2 linked regions of the Nothobranchius furzeri genome follow. The protein of the gene in region 1 interacts with the protein of each later gene in a pairwise test. Links are inferred from orthologs where the notes say so. Each region holds a gene or a part of one and is shown on either strand. Other genes may lie near its edges.

Region 1 (3,249 bases):
CTGTTGGAAGATGATTTAAAAAACAACTATGGTTACATCATTTGTGTTAAGGTTGTGAAAAATAGACAGAAGCCAACATGGCAGAAAAAGGGAAAAAAAAGAAAAAGATCCCTTATGCATTTTTTCTTTCACTTCAGAGATCCTGACCCTGAAAGAAGTCTTCCAGATAGCCAGTGATGGTGAGTTCATCTGTTTGTGTCTTCTCACTCTCCCAGAAGTCCCAGAGGTCATCTCTTCTTTGACTGATCCAACACGGCAACCTCAGTTTATGTTAAACATAGTCCCACTTAGTGTTTCCTTTAAAGGTGTGGAACACTGAAAACCATTTTTAATGGTTATTTGTCATTATAATGCAGGCTGAACATGAAATTAGTCCCCTACACCTATCTCCTGCTTTGGCTTCTGGTAGAAAACAGACGGTGAAACTCTAGGATTAGAAAATCCTGACAGATCTACGTCACACTGTCACTAAACATTCATGGACACTTCCATCTAACACAATTACTTATTCACACAGGGCAATGAAGGTTTGGATTTTGTTCTCTCCCTAAATAATAAAAACCATCATTTCAAAACTGCATTTTGTGTTTACTTGTGTTATCTTTGACTAATGGTTAAATGTGTTTGATGATCAGAAACATTTTGTGTGACAAACATGCAAAAGAATAAGAAATCAGGAAGGGGGCAAATAGTTTTTCACACCACTGTAGATCCTGCTGTGTTCAGCTCAGGTGATGTGGCTCACTTCTAGTTCCTGAAAAGGGCACACAGGTGCTTTTTTCCTTAGAGTAAGACTTCCAAGGTATTAATTCCTTCTAGAGACCACTGCAAATGTATAAAATAAATCAGTGTTCCACACCTTTGATAAATGGATGAAATGTTACTTTAGAATTATTTAACTATGTATTATTCAACATTTTCCTCACAGGAATTACTTTATACAATATAGTTTAAACAACTTTCACCAGCTGAGGTCATCCTGCTCTTGTTTAAACATGTCTGTGGGATTCTCCCAATTATCCCTTTATGGAGTAATTGCGTTCACGTTTATGGAGCCTAAAGTCATGACTTTAATCTAAAAGGTAAAAGTGGAAATGAAAGTGTTTACTTTTTTACTGCAGATCATGACACAGCCATTAACCGATACAGTCGCCTGTCTAAGAGGAAGGACAACGAAAAGGTGGGGAAGTTGGATTTATAATTTATTTAAATAAAAAAAACATATATAAATGTGTTCTCCCTGACGTTTTCATTTAAATAAGTGATGTTTTTACACACGTTGTCAGAATTTAACACAAAACATCTTTTTAAGCATGTTTAAAGAATAAAAATAAACTTTTATTTGAATTTAAAGTTATTTTTATAAAATTCAAAGAAAAATTTTACTATTATTTGCCAATAGAACCCATTTCTATGTGTTTGTGAATTATCCAACCTACCCTTCAATGTTACCGTATACCATCGTGTTGCTTCCACTCAAATTCAGTTTCTGCCTAACAAGTTCTTTTAGATAGTTTTTATAAAAACCTTCCAACACAGACGTAAAACCTACATTTCAAAGGGATTAAAGGAGGGAAGTGATGAGGGGTTCCTGACCTTCCCACGTTTGATTCAAGGTTCAGGTTTCTCCCAAGGTTCAGCTACCTGAAAGCAACATGATTATCGTTACTAAACAAGATTATCTCAGCAAATAATAATGTTATCCGTCTTCCTGAAATATGAGGACCATGCTGTTGTTGCAGGTGCGGTCGGAGTTGGTGGAGGACCTCTACACCTCCCGCAAGAAACAGCACCAGACCATGATGCACTACTTCTGTGCTCTGAACACGCTGCAGTACAAGAAGAAGACGGCGCTGCTGGAGCCGCTGCTGGGCTACATGCAGGCTCAGGTACACACACACACACACACTCATTTAAACCGGAGAAGTCAGAAAAAACAACCAGTTTTGAAACCATAATTCAACACGAGTGTTTATTTACCTCCCTATGAAACTTTTTTTTCGCAAAAGAGTGAAATTTCATCCTGATTCCTGTGTATGTGATTATATATACCGGTAATAAGGCCACAACCCATAGGGAGAGCTCACTTGCGGGGCGGAATGAATAATCTGCCTACTGGCGTGTCTTTAATCTGTGCAGATCAGTTTCTTTAAGCTGGGCTCAGAAAATCTCACCCAGCAGTGGGAGGACTTCCTGGGAACGATAGGAACCAGCGTCCAGAAGTAGGCGTCCAACTGACCTTTAACCTCTCAGAAAAGTTTCTTATAAAAACCAAAGTGTCAGAAATAAATATGTGTGTGTGTAGTGTACGTCGGGAGATGGAGGAAGAAGTGGGCCAGATGCAGCAGACCATCCAGCAGATGGAAAGGTCATGTGATCCTCTGTATACACCATGCGACCCTGACCCCGCCCACTCACCTGTTGTCCGCAGCCTAACTAGGAAGCAGGGATATCTCTACATTCGCAAGTGAGTGAGCTGCAAAATGTTTTTTTTTGTCTATTTAAACCTTGTTAAATATGAATTGATAAAAATTTGATCGTGTGATAAAGTGTATTTGTACATTTATTTAAGAGTCTTTTAAAGCAACAGTTTGTTAGTATTTGGAGACTTTAGATCCTGTTCTGTGCAGGATCGCAGTTTTATTTCTGATTTCATTATTGTCATTTTTCTGCTATAGATAAGAACTCTTTCATTTCTTAAATGTCTCTTATAATTTTTTAAATAATTCTGTCAATAACAGACAAATCAGACCAATGATATTAAAGGATTTTAGTTCTGTCTTTGTGAACGATTTATTTACAAGTCTAACTGTGTTGTGGCTCTTGGGTGGCAGTAAGACCGGCCTGGTGTCGTCATCCTGGGAACGTCAATACTTCTTCACTCAGGGAGGGAACCTGATGCAGCAGGGTCGAGGCGAGGTTGCGGGGGGACTGGTCACAGACCTCGACAACTGCTCGGTCATGGCCGTCGACTCAGATGACCGCCGGTTCTGCTTTCAGGTCACTTCCTTTGATGGCAAAAAGTGAGTTTTCTTGGTGTCTTCTGTTGCCTTTGAGGTTTTGGATTTCTGGGGTTTGATCTTTTCTCGTTGCTTTGGATCAGAGTGGTGACTCTGCAGGCGGAGAGCAGGAGGGAATGTGAGGAGGTGAGATGTTTCGCTGTTGTCATTGTCTCTGTGTTGATTGTTGTTGTTTCCTCACACTGGATCTCTGCTCCAACAGTGGATCGCCACCATCAACAACATCTCC
Region 2 (3,654 bases), on another chromosome or scaffold:
CTACTGGGAGCCGAGTTGTTGCCAGGTTAATGTCCGTAGCTTCTGTCCTCTTCCTGCTGCCAGGAAACCACGTCCAGTTTGAGCTTCAGACCCTCGGCTGATTCGTTTGTAAGGAAATGACATCAGTGAGAAGTTAACCAACCTTCTCCGCCTTTTTGTCTTTTCTCCACAGCTGAAACTAGAAGATCGATCAATCGTCATCAGAGACATTGTGAGACGGAACAACTCGTGTGTAAGTGAAGTCTGACAGTCTTTGATGTTACTGAAAAATCACTAATCTTTCACTATGATGTCATCGATTCACATTGCTATTGATCATTGTGTGTGCGTGCGTGCGTGTGTGTGTGTGTGTTGTATTTCAGGACAACCAGTGTGGTATTGTGACCAACATTGACATTGAATGTGCCGTGAAGCTGGTGGGAACCAGCTGTGTTCTGTATCCAGTGAACAGCAGAGACCTGCAGCACATCTGGGTGAGACACACGCACGCACACACACACGCACGTGCGCGCACGCACGCACTGTCCTGCAGGCTCATGAATAACCTGGTGAAACTAACATGATCTTTATTTGTTTTTAGTCTTTTATGTACGGAGACTACATAGCCTATGACTTCTGGCTGGGCAAAGTGTACGACCTGACCAATCACATCATCCTCAAGCTGTCTAACGGAGCCAGGTGTGTGTGTGTGTGTGTGTGTGTGTCAGAGCGTTAGAGCATGCCAGGTCAGACTCACCATCTGCCCCCTGTCCAGGTGCTCCATGAGTGTGGAAGACGGTGCCAAGCTTTACGATGTCTGTCCACACGTCAGTGACTCGGTACGTAGCCTGAAGCTCCCGTCTTCTACTGACGTCCAGGTCTCTTTGGAGTACTTTCTCTGCTCTGTGGGGAGCAACCTGATTTAGGACGACGGATTATTTTCAGCTTCATGGTGGTGTAAACTGTAATTTTTCATTTAGCATCGAAAAATAAGTTTTTGTTAGAAGTTGTTTAGTTGGTTCTTCCTGGAAGGAGACCTGTTCTTCACTTCAGGGGAGAACAAAGCCGGAGATATTTGGATCTAAGATGTCGGTCTAAGGTTAAAGTGGTGCTCAGAACCATCCTTGACTATTCTGCTGTGGAACCATGAAGAGCTGGTCTGAGTTGTGTCTGTGCTGTTTTTATCTTTAGGGTCTGTTCTTTGACGAGGCGTACGGTTTTTACCCGGGCCAGGTCCTGATCGGTCCCGCCAAAGTCTTCTCTAATGTCCAGTGGCTGTCGGGGGTCAAACCCGTCCTGAGCAGGAAATGCAAGTTCAGAGTTGTGGTGGAGGAGGTAAATCCGCACTCATGTAACCTGACAACTCTTACTTTAACATACGTCTCCTTTTCCTCCCTGTTCAGCTTCCAGGTAGCGCCGGTTCTTATGTTTTTAATGCTGACTTGGAGACTTGTGCTCCCCCCCCCCCCCCCCCAGGTGCAGGTGGTGGAGTTAAAAGTCACCTGGATCACAAAGAGCTACTCCCCAAAAGGCTCAGATGGTGTTTACCCACCTCCCTCCACCATCGCGCAGGAAGACCTGCAGCGGTCAGTCCACTCGGTCTCATTCGGCATCCGCTTCATCAGAGTCGGACCTTTGTGGGTCCAGGCCAGCCTACTGAATGTGATGTTTGCTTCTAGGGTGAGACGTCTGGGCTACTACGACCACACGCAGAGGCAGCTGGGGGAAAGGGCCCTCTACATCTTTCCAGCCAAAGGCGACGTCACGCGCATCATCTGCGACGGACCTGAGGGTGCTCATGTTCCGCTGGAGGACCCCGTTGCTAGAAAGGTGCTGCTGACACATTTTAGATTTTTAAATATTTGTGTTCAAGATGTGGAACAGTCTGGGTACCGAATTCGGTACTTTTTAAGGTACCGACCGAATTCCATAGTACCGACCGAGCACCGATTCACGTCGTTTCAAACGGTGCCTCGTTTCGGTACCCGTCCTTCATAACGAGAACTTGCCTAGACAGCTGCGCATGCGCAAGAGCGTTATGTCATCGGTCGCTGCGAGCCAGTTGTAAACGGAGCAGCATGGTAGAAAGAACGCACGCTAACGCTTGGGTCCACTTCACTAAATGTGATGGGTAACTGGGTGATGATGAAACCAGCGACAACGATCTAAGTGAGACATCCTCATCTTAATCTGCTCCGGTAGGTAAATAAAATGTTTAAGATAGCGTTAGCTTGATATGTTAGCTTCCGTTTCACTAATGGTGCGTTCGCTTTCTCCTCGGAACTCCGATTTTTCGACTAGAACATGAACGCGCTCTAAAGTTTGGCTTCACTTTACTAAATGCGACGGGTGATTGGGTGAAGATGAAACCAGCGACAACGATCTAAGTGTGAGGCATCATCGTTTTAATCTGCTCCAGCAGTTAAATAAACTGTTTAAGATAACGTTAGCTTGATATGTTAGCTTCCATTGCCACCATTGTTATCAGCTAATGGTGCGTTCGCTTTCTCCTCGGAAATTCTAACTTCCCAGTAGGAAAAATCAAATGAAAAAAGACGGCAAAAGGAATGAAGATACACAGTAAATTTAGTTCACAGTAAAGATGTTTGCTTCAGTTTAATTATCAGCTTGTAAAACTACAAGGACAATGTTAAAATACAAACAGTTGAATGTTATTTATCGTGATATTTATCAAATATGGTTATATATTGAGAAAAATATATATTTAATTATAAAAGAGAATTAAAATGATAAACACTCAAAAGTATCTAAAATTGGTACCGTTAAGTACCGGTATCGATTCCTAGGTACCTGGAATTAGTACCGGATCGATTCAAATGTCAAAGGTACCCATCCCTAGGAACAGAAGCACGTCGATGATTTAACAATGAGACCTGGGTCCGTTTGGGTTTACAGGCTAATTTACTCTTTGTGTTTTCTGCAGCTTAAAAGGATGTTCAAGAAGGATTCTGGGAAGAAGACAGAAAACGCCGACTCAGAAGGTGTTTACAATCAGATCATGAAAGCGCTGTAGTTTTTGTTTTGTCCTCCTAACACCAGCAGCTCGTTCCTCACACACACTCGGCCGTTACAGAGGGGTGTGTGTGAAAGTTTAGCTGCAGAGTAGAGACACGTTTCCTGTCCTTATGCTGACTTTAGTGTTTGTATTTCCTTCTAATTTAAATTTTAACTGGATGAAGCAAATTCAGCAGAGCACAAGTCTGATCAGACCGACTCGTCTCAGCCCAACGGCCCGGTGAGCCCCGCTCAGAACCCGCCGGACTCTCAGAACACCAGTGATGCCGCGCACGGGGAGCAGGACGCCGATGACGAGGCTGGAGAGGACACGGACGACACCAGGTCTGTGGGGACCACTTTAAATATGGAGTCCAGTTTAGTCTGGTTTAAAAGATCTGAGCATAGGAAGCTCCTAACGTGGGGGGTGTGACCTTTTCTAACATTAAACATCAGTTATAAAGAAAAACGATGTGTGTGTGTGTGTGTGTGTGTCTGAATCTTTCTGCAGCTCTCTGACGTCCTCAGCCAGCTCCACGGCATCCTCTCAGAGCGGCGGTCTGGGAACAAACCGCAAAAAGAGCATCCCGCTCTCCATCCGCAACCTCAAGAGGAAACACAAGAAGAAGAGGACCAAGTTCTCCCGCGAGTTCAAGCCCG

What was found. The genes of interacting proteins can lie anywhere in the genome.
Region 2: the proteins of appl1 (region 1) and ube2o interact in binary tests that used the Homo sapiens proteins (3 or more experiments, as listed by UniProt). The two-hybrid records come from large-scale screens. The link is inferred for Nothobranchius furzeri from reciprocal best matches to the Homo sapiens genes APPL1 and UBE2O.

What each region holds. Positions count from the first base shown.
Region 1 is NC_091743.1:68,844,799-68,848,047, forward strand, and holds part of appl1 (DCC-interacting protein 13-alpha), read left to right. Parts: intron 1-137; coding exon 138-179; intron 180-1,121; coding exon 1,122-1,180; intron 1,181-1,742; coding exon 1,743-1,889; intron 1,890-2,139; coding exon 2,140-2,222; intron 2,223-2,305; coding exon 2,306-2,467; intron 2,468-2,834; coding exon 2,835-3,023; intron 3,024-3,103; coding exon 3,104-3,146; intron 3,147-3,222; coding exon 3,223-3,249. UniProt on the Homo sapiens protein: Multifunctional adapter protein that binds to various membrane receptors, nuclear factors and signaling proteins to regulate many processes, such as cell proliferation, immune response, endosomal trafficking and cell metabolism.
Region 2 is NC_091747.1:74,405,685-74,409,338, reverse strand, and holds part of ube2o ((E3-independent) E2 ubiquitin-conjugating enzyme), read left to right. Parts: intron 1-172; coding exon 173-232; intron 233-362; coding exon 363-473; intron 474-580; coding exon 581-678; intron 679-754; coding exon 755-818; intron 819-1,170; coding exon 1,171-1,314; intron 1,315-1,455; coding exon 1,456-1,565; intron 1,566-1,658; coding exon 1,659-1,809; intron 1,810-2,923; coding exon 2,924-2,981; intron 2,982-3,179; coding exon 3,180-3,339; intron 3,340-3,505; coding exon 3,506-3,654. UniProt on the Homo sapiens protein: E2/E3 hybrid ubiquitin-protein ligase that displays both E2 and E3 ligase activities and mediates monoubiquitination of target proteins. Negatively regulates TRAF6-mediated NF-kappa-B activation independently of its E2 activity.